Linked DNA regions of Arabidopsis thaliana. The protein of the gene in region 2 interacts with the protein of the main gene of each other region in a pairwise test. Each region holds a gene or a part of one and is shown on either strand. Other genes may lie near its edges. The genes, in order: AT1G22570 and AT1G08230.

The links.
Region 1: the proteins of AT1G08230 (region 2) and AT1G22570 interact in a protein complementation assay, tested with the Arabidopsis thaliana proteins (one large-scale study listed by BioGRID).

What each region holds. Positions count from the first base shown.
Region 1 is NC_003070.9:7,973,551-7,985,089, forward strand, and holds AT1G22570 (Major facilitator superfamily protein), read right to left. Parts: upstream 5,261-11,539; 5' UTR 5,024-5,260; coding exon 4,900-5,023; intron 4,898-4,899; exon of another isoform or gene 4,832-4,897; coding exon of another isoform or gene 4,819-4,831; coding exon 4,601-4,818; intron 4,505-4,600; coding exon 3,945-4,504; intron 3,866-3,944; coding exon 3,070-3,865; 3' UTR 2,874-3,069; downstream 1-2,873. Other genes in the region: AGL87 (AGAMOUS-like 87), read left to right, coding at 9,961-10,452.
Region 2 is NC_003070.9:2,581,433-2,592,971, reverse strand, and holds AT1G08230 (Transmembrane amino acid transporter family protein), read left to right. Parts: upstream 1-6,002; 5' UTR 6,003-6,271; coding exon 6,272-6,359; exon of another isoform or gene 6,360-6,452; coding exon 6,453-6,683; exon of another isoform or gene 6,684-7,887; coding exon 7,888-8,172; intron 8,173-8,261; coding exon 8,262-8,392; intron 8,393-8,529; coding exon 8,530-8,769; intron 8,770-8,876; coding exon 8,877-9,257; 3' UTR 9,258-9,328; downstream 9,329-11,539. Other genes in the region: TIL1 (DNA polymerase epsilon catalytic subunit), read right to left, coding at 90-307, 385-473, 630-790, 1,216-1,311, 1,408-1,467, 1,590-1,655, 1,870-2,028; ADT6 (arogenate dehydratase 6), read left to right, coding at 2,737-3,978; AT1G08220 (ATPase complex subunit), read left to right, coding at 9,684-9,848, 9,934-9,974, 10,112-10,175, 10,414-10,602, 10,814-10,885, 11,009-11,184, 11,281-11,398. UniProt on the Arabidopsis thaliana protein: High affinity gamma-aminobutyric acid (GABA) transporter probably involved in GABA uptake into cells.

The DNA.
Region 1 (11,539 bases), 5.4 Mb from region 2:
TTTCCAAGACAAGTGTGGGCAATGTCTAATATCCATGTACCGTTGTTAGGTTTCGAATGTGGCTCTGTTTATGCAAATTTATACCATTTTTTGATAAACAGAGATAACCTCAAGTGGCCGGTTGAACTTAGAAGAAGCTTTCCTTGGATCATTTGGAGGATTTGGAAAAACAGGAATCTTTTCTTTTTTGAAGGAAAAAGATTTACTGTTCTTGAAACTATATTGAAAGTGAGGAAAGATGTGGAGGATTGGTTTGCTGCTCAGGTTGTAGAAAAAGAAAGGAGGGCTGAAGTGGGTCAAAGTGATCAGCAGGTTTTTTCCCCTAGGAATGTGTCTCCTGTTGTTAGATGGCTGCCTCCTCCTACTGATTGGGTGAAGTGTAATGTTGGTCTGTCTTGGTCTAGAAGAAATAGACTTGCAGGGGTTGCTTGGGTTTTGAGGAATGACAGAGGCAATGTCTTGATGCACAGTAGAAGAGCCTTTTCCAATATTTCCTCCTTTTTGGAGGCTCAATTTCTAAGCATTGTTTGGGCTGTTGAGAGTATGGTTAGTCATCATGTGAATAGGGTGGTTTTTGGTGTGGAAGCTGCGGTGCTTGTTGGGGTGATAAACAGGCCGCAAGCTTGGCCTTCCTTTAGGTTTCAGTCTTCGGAGATCTTGTTAGCTTTAAATGGTATTGCAGTTTGGAAAGTGGTGCTTGAATCGGTGTCTTCGAATAGAGGTGCTAATCTCATTGCCCAAAGTGTTACTAAGGAGTGTAGGCTTCAATCGTACGTGGCCGTAAGTTTTCCTGCTTGGCTTCTTGGTGTCTTTAGGGATGAGAGAGTTCTAACCTCTGTGGACTGAAGACTTTCTGCTTTTTGGCTCCTTGCTTTTTGGGAGGTTTATTCTTTTGTTGCCCTGTTAATTTTTGGATTCTCAGGGTTGACCTTTTAGTGGGTGTTTCTTGTGCCCCTTGGTCTCATTTTTTGGTATGACTTTCTGCAAGTCAGTTGTAATTGTGCTAATATCTAATATAACAAGTAATCTACCTTTGCGACAAAAAAAAAGAATTATGAATAACCTAGCTTTTGCTTTTTCTTTTTCTGAAATCTCTGTTGCTTTCTCTTTATAAAATGAATCTAGGTAGGCCGTTCAGTGTATTCATTGATCCAATTATTTCTCATTGTTACGCTGTCGTCACGTTCTTTTTTCTTTCTTTTTTTGTTGTTGTTCAACTATCGTCACGTTCTTTCTACTTTTTAAGGTAAACAATTTTCCACGTGCACGACCATAACTTACACTGTTTAGTGTTTACGTCCAGACCCCAAAAATCGATGCGGGACAAAAAAAACTGATTGATTTGTTAAATTAAATCTTCGTTGGCTTTATACGTGTTATTTGCTTAAACTTCTTTTAAAAGGAGTTTGATAGAACAGTGAAAAGGACAAAAGATATTTTTCAATCGCAGAACTAATATTTTCTGATTTATTAGCTGTGTGTTTGTCAGTGTCCCAAGGACAAAGTTGATTGTGAATTTCTCTCGTTATTACTTTCTTTGAAATAGTTAGATGAAGACTAAAAATGTCTTTATTTTCTTATAATATGTAGTAGCTGAATGCCTAACGCGTATAACTCCTAGGCCTTTAGTTTCTCAACCACTCCTCACTGCCCTTGTGTAAGAAATTAAATGACCCGACACTTTGGCCCATTTCGTGTAACACATGGTTTTAATATTTGCTTGAGTAGTAATTAAGAGTCACAAGTTATCTAACATAGTCGTCGCTTTCAAATACGTATATCATCGGTACATGGCGTGTACACATGATATATACTATATGCTCTTTGTTCCTTCCACAAGATCCAAAGTTGGTCCAAGCTTTCTCCAAGTGGAGTAATAGGTAATGATTGAGTTTCAAATTCTTTTGTCCTCCAGTTTCGAAATCTTCAATTTCTTTCGGCCCATTCAGCAAATCGTTCAAGAAGGATAAGATTTGCTTGCAATTTACGAATTGGACAAACAACGTACTTAAAGATAGATGGTCACACTGATTTATGTCAACATAAAAGCATGTTCTTGTAAAAAAAAACGATAAAATAATTATTCAATATTTGCAAATATCTTAAAAACAATGGACCCATCGGTGTTGTGAAACCAAAAATAAATGCTATCCAATCCAAACCCATGCAATGATAGATATGTTTTTTTTGGTAGGCTCCTCTACCTTATGTTTAAGTTGCCAATTCTATATACTTTGGAAATAAAACGAAAAAAAAAAAAGAAGTCAAACTATAAACATGTTAACGTACAAGTTTGATATGAAAGTCAACAAAATTACAGTAGAGACTCTATAAATTAATACTCGATAAATTAATAAACACGATAAATTAATAAATTTTGTCGGTCCCAAGTTGGGCCAATATAAAAATTAATCAAAATCGATAAAATAATAAGATAATAATTTTTTTAAAATCCCTATGTAAAATTATAGTCCCAATAATATTATAAATTAATAATCATAGATCTTAAGTATATATCTTAAGACTAATTTTTATATGAAATTTTTGTTCAAACTAACTCTTTTTAAAATACAACTGATATGATCTCTGTTGTACTCACATAACTATTTGCGTATTTGATCCGTCATAGTTGATTTTGTAAAATCTTTTATTTGAGAAAGCATTGTTATGATTTGTGTAAAGAGAAACTGGATTAACTTTCATGTTTACGTTTACGTTCACGTTAATGTCGTAGATATACAGATACAAATCTTGACGAAAATAAATTAAAAAAGTCAAATTAAAATAAAAACCTAACATAATTATATATGCAAACAACAAAGCATATAGAAAATTACATTAAAAAATATTTTTAAAAGAATATAGTATTGTACTTTACGTAAATATTTCTATAAATTAATATTTATTAACTTATACGATAAATTAATATTTATTAATTTAGAGGATAAATTAATATCACTATAAATTAATAAAATTTCATGGTCTCACCATTATTAATTTATAGAGTTTCTACTGTAATACTCTGAATTCTTCTTACCAAAAAAAAAAAAAAACTAGTACTCTGAATTCTTAGACTTGGTCTAGCCGACGATACACATACATCTTGGAGATGAACAAGAACGCAAAGAAAGCAATGGCCGTGAAAGCAGCGAGCAACCAATAAAAGTAATCCACATGGGCTCGGTTCAAGTTAGAGTTGAACCAGCCGTCTTTTCCCGTAGCCCAATCAATCAAACTGATGAGAAAACCACTCAAGAAGCTTGAAAGACCCATCGCACTCAGAGAAAGCGAGAGACCAATGCTCCTTAGCTCCGTTGGGACTTGGTCGTAGAAGAATTCTTGTGTTCCCACCATAGAGAACAGATCGATCATCCCGAGTAGCAAATACTGAGGGACGAACCACCATATGGACATTGGAACGGTCACGTCCGGCTTGTCCACTAGCCCGTGTTCCCTAGCGATTTTTAGCCGTTTTGATTCTACTAATGCAGCGAGCATCATATTGAAGACTGAAAGCACCATTCCAGCTCCTATCCTTTGGAGCATTGTGATCCCAAAAGGCTTTTTGGTAATCTTCCTAGCTATCGGGAGAAATACACGCTCATATAGGGGCACTGAGATGAGAATAGATACACCAACGAATGACAATAAAGAAGCCGCTGGAATTTCTACTCCCGGTAAGATTCTTCTGTCCACCGTGACCCCTTGCTTCGTGAAGAAAGTTATGTACTGAGCGTACGGAATCGTGCTCACCACGTATGTGATCCATATCGGAATAAGCCTTACCAAAGCCTTCGCGTCATCCACGTCCCTACCACTACATGGCTCAACACCTTCTCTTGAGATCATTGCTTTTGCTAGGAAACTTGTCACACAAGGTAAAGAAATTTACACTCAAAATTATGCCAAAAGACTAAAACAAAACACAAAATATTCGAACTTACTTGAGCCGATCTTTACGTTTCTCGGACTGACCATCCTCCAATAGACCTTGATCCAATTCCAAACTAGAATGTTCTAACCTCAGTTTCCGATTCTTGAACGCAATAACAAAAACTCTACCGATTCTTGCAAAAGTGTTACTACTATTAACCTCCTCATGATGTCCCTTTGGGTATCTATATATCTTCCTCCCGAGCAAGAAGATAGCAAGAGCCATAACCATAAACAAACAAGGAATCCCAAACCCAAACGCCCAATTAACATTTTCTTGAACATAAGCGACCACAATAATCGATATGCTTATTCCCGCAGATAAACTCAAGAACCACCAATTGAAAAACGACCCTCTCGCTATTACCTCCTTCGGATCTTCAGCATCAAACTGGTCCGCACCAAACGCTTGAACACACGGTTTGTGTCCACCTTGTCCGATCGCCACCAAATACAGAGAACAGAAGAAAAGTGTATTAACCCAAATAGATGGTTTAGCAGAAGCGTCGTTACGTTGCTTAGATAATCCCATTATGATTAAAGAAGCTGATAACGTCAATAGTCCTAGCCCCTGTAATAATAATAATCCTCCAAATTCAGCTAAAATCCCGGTTTAAATCATACAAAGATCAAACCGGTTTAACTAGAAGAAGACAAAAGTACTAACCAATATGTAGATGAGGGAAGCTACGACAATAGTACGGTAACGACCAAGATAAGCGTCAGCTACGAAAGCTCCTAAAATAGGAAGTATAGAGGCAGTTCCCGACCACGTGTTCACGTTCACGGCAGCTTTCGCCGTCGATTGTCCGAGAGGTCCGGTGAGGTAAGTAATCAAATTGCAGGCAATCCCAAAGTAAGCAAACCTCTCTGCAACTTCCACACCTAAACAAATCATTTAAGACTGGGACTTAGAAGTTTAACTAGAAAAAGAAAAAAAATTGGATTGTTTCTGATGTGTTTTACCTATAATGAACCAGGCCGATCTCCATCCGCCGGTGGAAGATTTTCCGGCGGGAAATCCACGGTGGTCGACGGAATCGCTAACGTAATCTTCTAAGAGTGCAACTTCTTCCTCTGGTATCTTCATTTCTCTCACCAATAGAGGTTGAGAATCTCTGTGAAAACTTTTTAAAGGGTAAATGCCTAAATGAGATTTTTAAGCTAAAAGATCTCTTTGTCTTGCGCAACTAGTGAACACGATTACATTAATTTATGATATTTTGGGTAACTAAACTTTCTAGTCTTTCTTTTATGTGTATCTGTATATTTATTGGCATTTGAGATGAGTGTACTATACGCGTTAAAAAATAAGTATGCAATTACATTATCTTATTTGTATTTTTATTTTATATAACTTTCCGATATTATTGTATTATTACGCAATAATACGCATACTTCCTTTGGACAAGTGATACACGTACGAGCTAGATATTTGCCATGTTTTGTTTTGTATCAGCAAATTCTTTTTGTCATTTTTTTCAATCAAAAGTCAACATCAAGGGTAATTTGATTGATCACGACTTATTCTTAAAATTAAGTTATAAAAAACATGTAACTTAGTGATGTACAATTGTTATTTGAGTATAAATGTTGATAGAATATTTAGATGTTTTTGGGTTGGATCGACCAAAAATCCATATATCATTCAAGCTCTTAGACTTAGGCTTAGCTAACCATAATTTTGACGTATCATTTTATTTGTAAATTCACTTACTTTTTAGTCACAAAAGCAACATAATTGATCACTATTATTTCAAAATTAGAAAATTCGTTAACAATAAAAAAAATAGACAACATTTGTATAAACATTTTACATTTGTATAAATGCTGAGACTAAATCAATAAGTTTTTAATTTGGAATATTTATTATGTAGTTGTATATTTTTCTTTCTCCTACTTGGCTAGTGGCTACTTGCATGCTCTTTGGTCCGCTTGTTGCGGTGTTCCGTATTTATGATCGAGTTATTCTTATCTCCTGATTAGCTGTCACTTCATAACTTCTTTTTACTTGCAAGTTGCAGGGTAATATGAATGTATTTGTTCACAGCACAAGACTATACTCTCCACAAATCAGCAAAATACATTCTACACGAATGTTTCCTTTTTTCTCAAGCTGTGGTCACTAAATTTTATTTTTTGGCTAAGATGTTTGTGATAGATCAGTCAAATAGTCAAAATAATATTTGTTCATAGCAGAAATAATCTCCTGTATTTCAGTTTTGAATAGTCAAATATAGATTGATTCTGATAAAGTTGGAAACCTTATCAGCTTTGGACACACAAAAAAAAGTCTTATCAGATATGTTATCGCGCCAAGCAGATGAGATGGATTTTGAATGTTACTTTGTCTTTTCATGTGTAATAGAAACAGAAAAATTCGGATTACTCAAATTGTTGACAATTTTTCGAGTTTTTGAAAGTCGCATGCTTAAATTATGTTGGCAACAATTTTCAGCATACTGCTGATTGATTCATATTTGGTGATTACGTTTGTTTCGTTGATTGTAGATTTGTTTGTTGAAGACATTTTTTGTTCTTGGGGGTTGATGTAGTAAATGAATATTAAAATCTTTATATTATTTGCATCCACTTGAGGATAAGATAATATTGTTGTCTTGCTGAGGAACGTGTTATACGTGTAGTACGTGTATAACTTGCGTTCTCTGAAATCATTCATTTAAAAAAAAAAACCTGCGTTCTCTCCTTTCTTACTACTCTCGAGTCTCAAACATTCTCTCTTTTTTATAGGCCCAAAATATTTCGAAATCAAAAGGGGCCGAAATACGGGCCTAAATAATTTGTGTGAACCATTTTATCATACATGGTTGCTAAGTTGCTATGATGTCGTATCCTTAGGAGTTAGGATTGGTACTCACGCCTAGACTGAACGGCGTGACATGCGGAAGATCGATAAATGGCATCATGACCTAACAATATTGAAAGGATCGAGATATGTAATATCTTTAAGCTCACGAAAAGATACAAACAAACATCGAATAAATTATATTTACATGGATTCCTCTCTTTTAAAGTCAAACAAAAAATATTATGACTTGGAAGTCTTGAACATTGAATGTTCTTTAGAAGGCACTATACCGGTGTACCGGTGTTTCAAATAATGTCTTAAGTTTTAGTGGAAATTTATTTACTTCCCAAAAATGATCTCTAACTATCTTAAGGAACAACCATGCAGATAAAGAATTTTAATACTAGTTTATGTAGAGTGTTTCATATGTATTTTTTTCCGTCATCATTAAGTTCGTAGAAACTTCTTTTGCAAGTACGAAATTTTGCAAGTACGCTACACCAAAGTATGGGTTTGTCACTTGGTTAATGATGAAAAACAGGTTAGCAACAGGGGAAAGGATGTTTCAATGAAACCAAAATGCAGATCAAAGCTGTGTCTTATGCCAAGATCCTTTGGAGACAAGAGAGCACTTGTTCTTCCAATGTCCGTATTCGAGAAAGGTGTGGGAGGAGCTGGCACGGGGGATCCTAGCAAACAAGTTCACTGAAAAATGGCGGGATATCATGAGGGAGCTTGCGAACAAAAACCGAGACACAACGAAAAGGTTTATACTAAGGTATGTGTTCCAAAACACGATACACTCTATTTGGCGTGAAAGGAATGATAGAAGACACGGAGAAAAACCATCAAGAAAAGAGAAATTTGTCAAGCTGATTGATAGAAATATGAGAAACCGCTTGAGCACCATAACAATGAAAGGGGAAGAAAAATACATTGGAGGACTTTAAGTGTGGTTTGCGTCACAACAAAGTCAAGGATAGATAGATTGAACCATATTTTGATTCGGTTTTAAGAAAAGTTTGCATTTCGATGTATAAACGTTTGCATTTTTTTTTAATATAATTTAACATTAGATTTCTAAAAAAATACAAAATTTTATCAATTTTAGGTGTGACAAAGTAAATTTCATCATTTTAAAAAATATTAAAAAGCTAATAATTATATCATTATATTACAAATCGTGTCACAAAAAACAAAAATCAACATGTCAAACATGAAAAAGCGTTACAAGAATAGTTTTTGCTCAATTGCTAAACAAACAAATAAATAAATTATATACCATACATTTCAATTTCACCATATATGCATATCTCCTCATTTTACAGAATCTTAAATGTAAAATTAATTTCATATTTAATAGTTTATAACACGCGTCACAAAATAGAAAGAAAAAAAAAACTAAATATTGCTTACTTAAAAAAGAGTTACGAAAATATAGTTTTTTCCGCCCAATTTTAAAATAAATATAAGATTATCCACCATTCATCTCATTTCACCACATATCCATATCTTCTCTAAAAGTTTTAGATCTGTTTCTTAGAGCGACATCGACGATGACAATGGCACCGAAACGATGTTTGTATGTATTGTTTCTAATAGTTCAACATGAGTGTTGGCGATGAGACTCTATCAATAGCCACACAAAAAATTACTGTCTAACTCTTCAAAATTTGTTGTTGTTGTTGAAAGTAACCCTTAATTTTTAGATATCTAACGTTTGTTTTATATTTTTTTCATTGTTGACGACAGTAAAACGAACGAATCTACCAAATCGGTCAGAGTGGCTTGCAGATCTTTAAGGAGTCCTTCCGTGAGACGGTAAGTTCATTAATCTAACTATTAGCCTATTACATTACATATATGTCCACGGAATTTCAATTGTTTGGTCTACCCATTCATTGTTTATTCTCTCTTGCTGAATTAGTGGTTTCTTTTTTTTTTTTGAATAAGTTTTCACTAGAAAACTTTGAGGAAAGTAGTTGAATTATAATTTCAAATATTAGATAAAATTCATTAACTAAGCTTCGATCATTATTCTTACATATTTAGCTTTTACATAATTACTTAATAGTATACAATATTACACACACACACCTCGTATGTGTGAAGTGAATCAGTGTGTATATAACTATACCAATCGAGTACTTTACAATTAGTAATCACAACAGCCAATGAGTTAATAACTATGTAACTAAATATTTTGCCTATTACTGTTCCCATATATGTTCTACCATATTAGAGAGTTTGACCCTTTTTTTTACAATAGACCAAATAGAAGAGAATATGATGTGTTGTAATTTGTAAATATTTACATATATGCACACCTCCTACATGTGTATATACTATAACTCATTAACTCTATTAAGAATAACTATTTTTACCATCAGAAATTACATACGTCAGTCAAATTTAAAAATCATAATCATAAAGGCCTAACACTAGAAAAGTTAAAATCAGTAATGTAATGAGACTATTATGACTAATAATGGAAGAAAATATTTAATACAATGTAATTAAATGTAAAAAGACAAAATTAGAGATACTCTTATTGATAATTACATAACTTTTATTACATATTGCCTTTTGTATATATTTTTAAATCTCACAGAGTTTTTCAACAATTTTTTTTTTTGTCCACGCATAGGCTTCTGTGATTACCAATTATAATGTTTAACTGACATGTAGGATAAATTAATTTCTTGTTGTCAGTAGTATAATAAAATTATGTAAAGAAAATGCATGTCTACAACATTACAAATATACAACTCATCATATCCTCTTTCTGATTGGTCTAGTGTAAGAAAAAAAAAGTTCAAACTTGTTTATATGGTAAAACATATATAGGGACATTAATAGGCAAATATTACCTTCCTCTTTTTACAGGTTCATTAGACTAACAAACACAAGACAACTAATAAAATGAAAATAAATTGATATAAATCTTCTTATTTAGAAAGCTTTTATATCTATATTTTCCCTTAAATCTTATATGTATTTTTCTGTTACAGCCTTCCTATAATTTGCTTTTTACATTTAAAAATACCTTTCTATAATTTGCTTTTTAATATTTAAATAATACCTTTCTATAATTTGATGAAACGTCTTTTGTGGACCTAGCCAAAATCAAAGTTAGAAACTCTCTATATAACATTTTACCCATCTAGTCCCTAAAACCACCCAAAATCCTCTTCTCTTCTTCATTTTTTTTTTTCACCATGGGAAGAAGAAAAGTTACACACCAATTGATTTCTGACAACGCCACTCGCCGAGTTACATTCAGAAAACGCAAAGATGGTTTATTGAAGAAGATCTATGAACTGACCGTTCTATGTGGTTTACCCGCTTGTGCCATCATCTACAGCGAATACAAAGATGGCCCTGAGCTCTGGCCAAACCTTAACGAGGTTCGTTCTATTCTTAACAGGTTAAGCGAACTTCCGGTAGAGAAGCAGACCAAATACATGATGGACCAGAAGGATCTCATGAACAAGATGATCCAAGACGCAGAGAAGAAGTTGGAGAAGGAGAAGATGCATACTCGTGCGATGAAACTTGGGTTAATGGCTGGGTCTAATGATCTAATCACCGATACTGATTGTTCGGAGGAACTGGCCAGAGCAGCTGATGTGGTTGATAAGAAGCTCAAAGCCATCAGAGAGAGAATCAAGGCTGTTGAAGCAGGAGCACCAATCATCAAGAGAGACTAGGATGATGTTTTCAAATAACTTCTTATCATTTTTATTTCATGGTTTTTAATTATTTTCAGATTAAGATGGTTTCGATTGATGGTGTTTAAAGTTCTGTTCAATGATTTGCTTTTGCACTCTAGGAAGGATTAGGAGAATGATATGAATCTCTTTGGCCTTTGTATGGTGTAATATGATCTTTTCAGTTTATGACCAGATTTGTTTTATATTTTAGGAAGATTTTCTCCCTTATATGTTTGTTGTTTTAATTTTATTTCTATCTTTTTTAGTCAGCCTAATGTTCTATATGTTACATAAAATCTTTTGGCTTAATTTTTACCAAAGAAAACATATTATCTTGATTATCTGCTTTTCATATATCTCGCTTATAGTCGATGAATGAAAAAACTATTTCGCTTAATTATCTATTTTTTTCCGCTTAATTATCTATTTCAACAATCTATTGTATGTTCTATCCACCTCAGAAATTAATAGACAATCGATTGTAGCTAATTCAATAAATAATATATTTTCATGTATATCATTCATAAATGTGTCTGAAAGCCTAATCTTTCATTGGATACACAAATGATATATATGTCTGTTTTCAACTTTGATGCAAAAAATTTACCGTATTAAACTCTATTATATCGTTCAATTTTAAAAATCTAAATTACTCAAATTCAAAATTAATATTTGTAATTATTGAAAATGTCACATATCTGTCTTAGTTTGTTTAAAATAAATCAAACATATTAAATTAATTAATTTCTATAATTTATGTCTACGTAACTGTCAAATTATTATTGATTACATTTTATTTTAATTTGCAACAGTCTTAATTAATTGTTTGGCCAGAAAGGATAAATGTTTTTATGTAAATAATTTTTTTTATCAACTATTTCATAATTGTTTTTGTCATAAAGCAATTACCTTTCTGTTTAAATTATTTATTCATAGTTTACAACTTGTAGAAAGGCGACAGTTGTAAATTTTATGTCTTTTAACAATTTATATATATTTATCTAAATTTTAACACTATTAAAACAAAATGTTTTACTTAGATCTATTTATAACATTGATTTCCATTATTATTATTATATTAAAT
Region 2 (11,539 bases):
AATTAATGAATTAACAATCCCCATCCACCATGTAAAAAATCATCATTACAATATCAGATCCAATACAGACAAATGTATACAGCAGTTACCTCTCTGTTAATAATTAGAAAACCTTGCCCATCGACCATGTAGGATATCATCATAATTTGATCATATTCAGCATCAGGAAACTTCAACGGAAGCTTTGTTGTCTCTATATCGAAGGCACAAACACGGACTTCTGCGCGTTGAAGAAGATCTGTCCTCTTCTCCAATATGACATCGGTGCTGGAAATACTGACATTGTACCATTGCCCACTCCGCACATCTGGACACCAAGAAAACATCATGATTTTGACAATTTTGAGGACTAAACAGAAATTCTGGTTTGACTAAACAAGATACCATTATCAATTGCAAATCGAACATGATAAGGTACATCGTACTCGCGGAGGTCCACGATAGAGTCTAAGCAATCTTGAGGACGTTGTTCTCTGCGTTCCAAGAATAAAGATAAAAATGATCAGGACATCTGAAACCCTTAAAAATAAACTTGAAAAATAACTAAGAAACAACTTAGGTTAAGAGGTAAAAATTGAAAATCAACAAAACTCTTAAGTGATTTAAAAGAACAAAATTACATGTCTTACCGTTTTCCAGCCAATATGGATTCGTATGCTTCAAGTGCATCAAATTTTGCCTGGTTTCGTTCGACAATATGTAACAAATCCCGCTTGACTTCCATCAATTGTTGCACAGTATCAAATGATATTTTTAGGTATTTTTTTTGCAGGCCAGATAGATGATTTTTCTGCTCATGAACATAAAATAAAGGAACTCAAAATTGTGTATCACAGAAAAAAGCTACAAAGACATCCTAAGCGAATTGATAACTAAAAAGTACTGAAACCTTCATATCTTGCATACAATTGCACTAAAGGACAATCAATAAACACTTAAAGAAAACTAACTTTAACATCTACAGCCCATGTTACATACTAGCAAACGCCTATTGATTTCACCTAATGGATTCAAGACTACTTTTGGACTATTTACTACAAATGTTCAGTTTTGGGTTACAAGAAGAGGATAACAACTAAAGGTTGTAGCAAATATTTCTGATATGAGTAGAGAAACAACATTAATCAACTGGTGGAAGACACTAGTCAACTACATCACACAATGAGGAAGTCAGACTTAAACTAATAATAATCATAGTATGCTTTACTGACTTACAAGATCAAGATCTTCTTTTTCAACAATCTCAATATCAGCAACTTGTCTTTCATATCGGCGTCTCAAGTAGGCTTCGAGTTCCAATTCCATTTTGTCCTGTAATTTGGCATTGCAGTTTATTGACATATAAAATGAAAATACATGAATGATTCAAGGAGAATTCCGATAATGTCCAGAGAGAAACTATCATACTTTCGTGGCTGCATAAAAGTAAGGACGGAACTTGTACTTTGTCTTGAAAGAAAAGCCGTCCTGAAAAAAATCCTCAACTCAGTTAACTATTTAGAAAAATGCAACAACAAAAATATAATCGTTCATCAACTTATACGAAGCTGACATAGTAATGAGTAATGACCATAATTATAGCAGCTCACCTGAGTAACAAAGTAAAGGTCCACACAACTATAGACTTTCCCAGTATCGCGATCTTCCCAAGATGACTGCAAAACGTAGTAGATTATCCAATCAGTAAATACTAGTACTTTGACATTACCTAGAATCCTAAATTCTCGCACTAATGGAGTTTCATTGTATGGTTCAGTCGCCAATGCTTATATTTAATTTACAGAAATTCACATATAATCGAATCCGAAACCTACTCAAATACTCTCAATTAACAAGGTTGAGTCCAGATTAGAGTGTCGGAGAACTTACCGATGAGAATGTGAGTAACCACCCAAGTCGGGTTTCACCTTCAGAGAAAAGCCCAAATCCGAGTTTAGATTCGAGTTCATCTTCCGCAGTGTTCACTACCTTAGGCTTCTTCGACCACCGCGTATCCTTTCGATCCCGTCTTCGATTATCTCCGCTCATTTTGCGGCGATTATAAATTACGCGGGACAGAGAGAGATTCCTATATAGAGAGGAGCTTTATTCCTGGAGAAGCTTTGAAGGAGAATTTAGGGTCAACAAAAGGGCTTTTACTGGTAGGGCTTCGTGGATGCCGGAGAAAGTGAGTGAAAGAGTAGAGAGGAAAAAAAAATCTTTTATCATTTTCCCGCGCTTTTGGTATTGGCAACCAAATCACTGATAAGCCCCTCATTTTTGGACTCTAATTGGGCCTATCTAAAAGCCCATCTTTATCGCATTTGCATTTTGGATTTCGAACACAGCCTTTCCATTCGAGACGATGATGACAAATTAGGATTTCTAGCTCGAGGCGAAAACAAACTTCCTTCTTGTAGCTGTAGGTGTTCTCAAGCTCCGACTCACAAGTCACAAGTGTAGACTGTCTCCTTGAACTCGAATCACCTCCGGTAAAGTCTTAAACACTCTCATATCTCAATTGGGGTATGGAGAAAATCGGTTTATGAAACCAAATAACTTAAACCGGATCGGGTCGAATTAATTTTCAGTTAAATGCCGGTATGGTCCATACGACTGTGACTTGTAAGGTGGTTGTGGTAGGTGGAGAAGTGACCACACAAACGAACTACCCCAGGAAAACATGTTTTTCTACATTCTCGACTTTGCTATTTCATTGAGCTTGAATAACCAATTTTAAGACGCCATTGCTAAAACATGAAAGCTCTATCATCTTCTTCTCCAATATTAGGTGCTAGCCAGCCGGCGACGGCGACTGCGCTTATCGCGCGATCTGGTCGTTCTGAATGGCAGAGCTCCTGCGCTATTCTAACAAGCAAGGTTATTTCTCAAGAAGAATCTGAATCCTTACCTGTGCCTCCAGTTTCCGGCGGAGTTGATCATCTCAACGGCCATAACAGCGCCGCCGCACGAGTTCCAGGAATGAATCTTGTTCCGATTGAGAAATCTGATAGCAATCCGTTGGTTCCACAGCATCGTCATAATCCACTGAAACCCCTTAGCATGACGGATCTCTCGCCGGCTCCGATGCACGGATCTAATCTACGCGTCGCTTATCAAGGTGTTCCCGGTGCTTACTCTGAAGCAGCCGCTGGTAAAGCTTATCCTAATTGTCAAGCTATACCTTGCGATCAATTTGAGGTTGCGTTTCAAGCGGTGGAGCTTTGGATCGCAGATCGTGCTGTTTTACCGGTGGAGAACTCTCTCGGCGGTTCTATCCACCGTAATTACGATCTCCTCCTCCGTCACCGTCTTCATATAGTCGGCGAAGTTCAACTCCCTGTTCATCACTGTTTACTGGCTCTTCCCGGCGTTCGTAAAGAGTTTCTCACACGTGTGATCTCACACCCTCAAGGTCTCGCTCAGTGTGAGCACACGCTCACAAAGCTCGGACTTAATGTCGCACGTGAGGCAGTTGATGACACCGCAGGAGCCGCTGAGTTCATCGCCTCTAACAACCTCCGCGACACAGCCGCTATCGCGAGTGCACGCGCCGCCGAGATATACGGGTTGGAGATTTTGGAAGATGGGATTCAGGACGACGTGAGTAACGTGACGCGCTTCGTGATGCTGGCGCGTGAGCCAATCATACCTAGAACAGATAGACCGTTCAAGACTAGCATTGTCTTTGCGCACGAGAAAGGAACCAGCGTGCTTTTCAAGGTGCTCTCTGCTTTCGCCTTCAGAGACATTAGCTTGACGAAGATCGAATCGAGGCCGAATCACAACCGTCCGATCAGGGTCGTGGATGATGCCAATGTCGGGACGGCGAAGCATTTTGAGTACATGTTTTATGTTGACTTCGAGGCCTCGATGGCGGAGGCGCGTGCTCAGAACGCGCTTGCCGAGGTTCAGGAGTTTACATCGTTCTTGCGGGTGCTTGGGAGTTATCCCATGGATATGACTCCTTGGTCACCAACATCATCAACTTCATCGTAACCATACTATAGTCTATACACACATGAAAATGTAAATTTTGGAGAAGATAACAAAGTTTTATATTTACTGATCCATTCTGTTTGGTGTTTTACATTTGATTGAATTCGTATAAATCAATAAACAATTGGTAAAAATTTAAACTAAAATTCATAGAACATTGATTTGGAAGTTTTGATAACAGGGGAAAAGTTGTGACAATATGGTGGAGTTGGTAACAGAAATAAGGGTTTGGGGACAATCAATCATTGTGGTTTGTATGATAATTTCGTGTTGTCCTATTGGACCTGGGGTTGATAAACCATCGAGTCCAACAAGAACACAACATATGTACATATGTTTGGTGTATGCAAAATGTTGTCTTTTCAAATTTTCAGAAAAGATTGTTAAAAAATATAAATGCGTCTGCCGGGAGTCGAACCCGGGTCTATTGCTTGGAAGGCAATTATCCTAACCGTTGGACTACAGACGCTTTTGCATATCGAGCAAATAAACTATATATACATATAAACTTTGGATGTTGAGGTTAAAGTGAGAAAGATTTTAAAATACATATATATAGATATAATCTATATATATATTTTTGCATCCATTTTGTGAAATAAATCCTGGAGTTGAAACTTATTTACAATGGCTGTCACTGGCTTTTAATTATTAGTTTTTTCAGCAATAAATTGATTAACAAACGAAAAACATTCCAAATATATTTCAATCCCATATATCACGCAGATTTTTCCAAAATTTGAACTAGATTTCAGCAACTATTTAAAACAAAAAATGTTTGACAACCCAAAAGACAATTGCAATCCCTTAAAATGAGCAAACGCAACTAAATACATTTCTTATCAATTCACTAAATCTTATTTCTCCAAAATTTGAACTAGATTTCGACAACTATTTAAAACAAAATTTTGTTTGACAAACTAAAACACAATCGCAATCCATAAAATATTTATTTTAATTATAAATTTCAACTAGCGGGGTACCGCGGTTTTTTTTTACAGGACGGGTTTGGCAGAACGGGTTTGGAAGGACGTTACTTAATAACAATTGTAAACTATAAAATAAAAATATTTTATAGATAGAGATAATTTGCAAAATTTTATATATACTAGTTTAAATAAAAAAAATTATCTCCGCGGTGTACCGCGGGTTAAAATCTAGTCTATATATACATTTTTGCAACTATTTTGTGAAATAAATCTTGTAGTTGAGAATTATTTACAATGATTGCCACTGGATTTTAATATTTGTTTTTGATAATTAGAAAAAAAATCTTCGAATTAAATATTTGACATTTAATAAATTTTTTTAAAATCTCTTTACATTAACTACACGATTGGTTACTAAAATAAAACTTTCAAAATATTTAATATCATTTAATTACTACAAAATTATCATTATTGATATTGTTTTTCTTCATGACTATTACAATTCAATTATAATCATCAAACCGCAGAGATATTTGATAACATTTAATTACTACAAAATTACAAAATATTTAGACAATGATTCATAAACATATGATAAAGAAGATCAACATTAATAAAATAAATGAGCTTTTTTTACGGGATGGGTTGGCGGGACGAGTTTGGCAGGACGAGTTTGGCAGGACGAGTTTGGCAGGACGAGTTTGGCAGGACGTTACTTAATAACAATTCTAAACTATAAAATAAAAATATTTTATAGATAGTTACATAGATTGTTACAAATTACAAACTTTTATATATACTAATTTTAAAATATAAATTGTCCCTACGGTATATCGCGGGTGAAAATCTAGTATTATTATTATTAACCGAAAGAAATTTCTTTCAATTTTAAAAATTCTGTCAGTTATAATGAAAATGTAAAACTGTAATAAGGATTTAATATACATATTAACATGTTATATTGATATGTTATTACTATTATCCAATTTGCTTTTTCTATTACTGTTTGTTGGATGTATTGAAAATTTAAGATTGTCTCCAAAATCGATTATTTTGAAATTATATATAAAAAATAAGATTTAAGAGATTTGTTTCCAAAATATTTTGAATTCTCCATTTATTTTCATATTCTATCATATATTTTTTAAAGAAAATAATCAAGATATACACATTTTATAACTTCATAAATCGTTTGACACAGAAGAGAATCGATAAACTATAAATCTGCAATGTTTAATATTATTACGAAATGCTTTTAGGTAAAAGATGATATGATAGCAAGTGTGTTTTTTGGACTTATAAAAGTGAGTAGCACCTAGTGGGGGGAGAGAGAGAGAAAGAGAAACAAAGAGAGCGATAAAGAGATGGGTGGAGAAGAGAGATCAGGAGATGGAGAAAAAAGAGGGGAAGAAGTAGTTGATGCTGGTTCTCTCTTCGTCCTTAAATCCAAAGGTACGTTTTATTAATTATGAAATCTATGAAACTTAACGTATACTATTATAACCCATTTGAAGAAGATATGATGATGATGATGATGGAAACTAGGGACATGGTGGCACTGCGGATTCCACTTGACGACGTCTATAGTGGCGCCTGCGCTACTGAGTCTACCGTACGCCTTCAAGTTCTTAGGATGGGCTGCCGGGATATCTTGTCTGGTCGGAGGAGCAGCCGTTACTTTCTACTCGTACACTCTTCTTTCTCTTACTCTCGAACACCACGCTTCTCTCGGCAACCGTTACCTCCGCTTCCGTGACATGGCTCATCACATCCTCAGTAATTCTTTTTCTTTTTACATTTGCTCTTTCCTATAATCAAAGCTGCGACAAATTTACCTTAAGAGAATTTCATTCAAGATTGAGATGTATAGTTGTACGTAGACATACGTGTCTATATGAACTTCTATACGTAATAATTGACACACGGCCGGTACCACTCCAATAATTTCATCCACGCAATAAAGGAAGGTACATGTCCTACGTAATAATTTGTTTGAACAAAAAAAAAAGTTAATTTTTGTGTGAAAACGCGAGATGGAATACTTATAATCACGTTTGCTATTACGAACAACGGAATTTTATAAGAAACCAAGTAAACATTGGTATGAGCTCAACTTTTGTTCGTGGTTGGTTAATATCACAATATATGTATTGTGTAAACCTATGATTTTTAAAAAAATACTTTTCTATACTGTTTGGTCTTGTTTCGAATTATAAGAAGAAAAAAAACTAATCATATGGAATTCATATTATAGTGAATTTTTTGATATGGCTTGCTTCGGTTCAATTTTGTTGGGATCCGGATCGAAGTGTTGACCATTCCACATTTCCACTCATACCACTGTTAAGTTTCAACTTTTTCATGCGTTAGATAGCTGTCTCTTTCCGTGTCTTGTTTCATTTTTGATGCAGAAATTTGTCTTTCAAAACTAATTTCAATTTTTAAAAATATGTGCGTGTCAGAAGAGTATTCATAAAACGTTGGTGCCGACCAAAATTTAATCTTATATAAGTAAAGTTGGATAGGTTCGATCTGCTTTCAAAAGTAGAATATTCTAAATTTCAGATCCTACATAGGATTCGATCCAAATTAGGATAGTTACGCTTTGACTGTCGACTACCAAGGAAATCCACATGTCAACAAAACTTTTAAGACAAAATTTAACGTATTTATCTATGCAAAAACTACAAAATGATGAGAAAAAATTGATTGAAATTTTTTATCTTACTGGATAATTCTGTTTTAGTAGCTAATATGAAACTAAATCCATTATGCATCGAATCATCGATTTGGATTTTAGTTTTCATTAGAGTACACCGCTAATCTGAAGGATTTATAGGAATTCGATTTAGCCCACTTTTTCGGGACTGTATACAACTTTAATTAGGATAAGGTAAAGTATAATACAGGTTCCGAATGTTTGATTAGTTAAGATCAGTTTGGTTTTCCTCTTAACAATTATTGGGGTGTGTTTGATAAGGTCCGAAATGGGGAAGGTACTACGTTGGACCAATACAAATGGCGGTGTGCTATGGTGTGGTTATTGCCAATGCGCTCTTGGGAGGGCAATGCCTAAAGGCAATGTACTTGGTAGTGCAGCCAAATGGGGAAATGAAACTCTTTGAGTTTGTGATTATTTTTGGATGCTTACTTTTGGTTTTGGCACAATTCCCATCCTTTCACTCTCTACGATACATCAACTCACTGTCTCTCCTCCTCTGCCTCCTCTACAGTGCTTCTGCCGCTGCTGCATCCATCTACATTGGTACTCTTCTTTACTAAACCACTTTACTCTTAATTCTTAAACCTTTTATATTGTTACATTTAAAAGGTGAGTTTTCTGTTAAATATCAGGAAAAGAACCAAATGCACCAGAGAAGGACTATACTATAGTTGGTGATCCAGAAACTAGAGTGTTTGGAATCTTTAATGCTATGGCTATTATTGCTACTACATACGGCAATGGCATTATACCTGAAATTCAGGTTTCATTTTGTTTCCATTCTTTGTTTAGAACACCACTTTAATATTTATTCATCAAAAACAAAAGGGCAGTCACATGATCGACTCAGTTATATATATAGAGTATTTGATATATGAATACTATCTTCTTGCAACGCAGGCAACAATATCGGCACCAGTGAAAGGAAAAATGATGAAAGGGTTGTGTATGTGTTACCTTGTAGTAATAATGACATTTTTCACAGTAGCCATCACAGGATATTGGGCATTCGGTAAAAAAGCCAATGGACTTATCTTCACCAATTTCTTAAATGCCGAGACAAACCATTACTTTGTCCCTACTTGGTTTATTTTTCTCGTCAATCTCTTCACTGTCCTTCAACTTTCGGCCGTTGCTGTGGTAAATACAATTTTTTTTTAACGTTTTTCTTTCACATATATACATTGTTATTATTTTATTTTATTTTCGTCACATATATACATTGTTACTAATTTTGAGTTATGCAGGTATACCTACAACCTATAAACGATATTTTGGAAAGTGTGATCAGCGATCCAACAAAGAAAGAATTCTCTATCCGCAATGTCATCCCTCGACTAGTTGTGCGTTCCCTCTTCGTCGTGATGGCTACAATCGTTGCGGCAATGCTTCCATTTTTTGGAGATGTAAACTCCTTGTTAGGCGCTTTCGGTTTTATACCTCTAGACTTCGTTCTTCCTGTAGTTTTCTTCAACTTTACTTTCAAGCCGTCTAAAAAAAGTTTCATTTTTTGGATCAACACTGTGATCGCCGTGGTTTTTTCGTGTTTAGGGGTGATTGCTATGGTAGCGGCGGTTAGACAGATTATAATAGATGCCAATACGTATAAGTTGTTTGCGGATGTATAAAAGAACATGCAAAGCAAAGTGAGATTGTTATTTCTATATTTAAGAATAAGCCTTTTTTTTTCTTAGAAAAATGTTTATGATTATAAATTTGGAAAATAATATTCAAATTTTGATAACAATATTTTTACATAATTTAAATTAATTAATTTTGAATGAAATAAATACAGATGAAATAAATATCTAGAAAATTGATAAATCACAGTACAGGCCTGGAATATGAGCATTTGAAACCCAACGCAAAACAATTCCTAGAAACGGAAGCCCAAAAGTTGGGGGCTATAATTAAACCGGATTTAAAAAATCGGTTTGATTGGTTACCCACACAAAAATCTGGTTCAGGATTTTAGACTCGTTTTCAATTTCAAGCGTGTTTGGTTCGCCGGCAGAGAGACATAACCAAACAAATAGGGTTTAAGCTCTACTAAAATGGCGACGACGTTGAATCGAATCCTGAAGCATAGATCAGTCTCTGCTCTCAACAAGCATCATCAAGGACTCTTCTCCCTCACTCGATACGAGAATCATGACTCTCTCCCTTCTCAAATGCCAGCTCTTCGATCAACCACCCGTTCTTTCCTCGATTTTTATAAGGTAGGAAATTCTGAGAAATTATCAATTTCGCTTATCGGAGAAACGTTGTTTATAGATCTGTCGTTGTTGTTGTGGCTTTGCACAGTTCGGGAATAAGAAAGCAATTGAAGATGAGCGTGCTAGACTGTAAGCTTGCCTTTATCTAGATTCAATTCTTTTTGGGTTTTGCTCCTATTCAGATTCAGCATTGATTTGCTATCTGTTTCGACATAGATCGTCTCAATGAGAAGTTGATTAGTGGAATTTGATGTGATTTAGGGCAGTAATGATGAGATGAATCGGGGTTACTTTGCTGATATGAAAGAATTCAAGGAACATGGTGGTAAGGTATAATCATGCAACTTCTTCCACTCTCTCTCTCTTATTGGTAGGATCCACTATCACAGATCCCAGATTTTGTCTTCTTTGCAACGCCAATCTTAAAGGGTGGATTGTTTTCATTAGCTATGGCTTATATCATCTGGGTTCGCTTGTACTTAGTTATGCATGATTTAGATACCGTAGCCTGTAGGGATCTTGTATTTGCTTTATGAAGTTTCTTAACTGTCAATTGATGTTTTTGTAGATCGCAGCTGCAAATAAGACTATAATTCCTGCCGCTTCAGCCATCAAATTTCCGGTATTAGCAGTGACTTTCTCTAATGGAAAAAGCCTAAAGTTGCCTATTGCTCCCAACAGCAATGAGGTTGACACAGAGAGTTTGGTTGTTCCTAAAGTATCATTGGTGTGTCTGTCTTTCCGAGCAAGCTCTCAGGTACAGAAAATTCTACCTCGTCTTTGCTATACTCTGATTTCGAGAATGTTTGAGTTTATTAAAGATTACCGGAAGTGTTGCTTCTTAAGGTTACTAAACAATGGTTGCCTGACACAGTGGTCTTAACTCTTTAGTGGGGAATCATTTTGTTGATAAGTTATATATCTAGTTTGTATAATTGTTGATGTGATGTGGTTGCTTTATCTGACAGGAAATGATCAGCTCGTGGAGCAAACCATTTCTTGAATCATTTGGCAACAGGAAAGATCTTCAGTTGTTTGAGGTACTGATTCTGAATCGTTTGTGCTATTCGCACTTATATCAGATTTTAGAACCTGCACGAGTGCTTTTTTAGCAGCTGTTTTTCTCCCATTTTATTCAAAAACTTATTTTCTTGTAATTATAGGTTTCATTTATAGACAAATGGCTGCTGGGCTTGGCCCCCATAAGAAAACTACTTCTCCGGGTCTTGCAAAAACCAAACAATAACGAGAATAGTGTCCTCCAGAGGCAGGTGGGTTACGCATTTGGAGACCATTACTACTTCCGTAAAGAAATTAAAGTTCTGAACCTTCTCACCGGGTACAGAAAAGTCTACTCTTCATCAGGTTAAGAGAGCATAAGAGATTCCCTTAACCTTTCTGATCTCTCTATTGCACATACGTGTTCACGTTTCAGGTATATTCTCTTACTTGACAAATCCGGGAGAATAAGATGGCAAGGTTTTGGAACAGCAACTCCAGAGGAAGTATCTCAACTTCTCTCTTGCACCTCACTTCTCTTGGAAGATCAATGAGAGGTAACCAAACTTCTCTCTCTCTTAAACCATTTAAATCACAAGACTCCCAATTCTTCTTAGGCCTGCAATTATCAGAAAAATTCTACAGCATGGCCAGAAAAACGTTCTGTGTAGAAAATATTTCAACTTTGCCTTGAA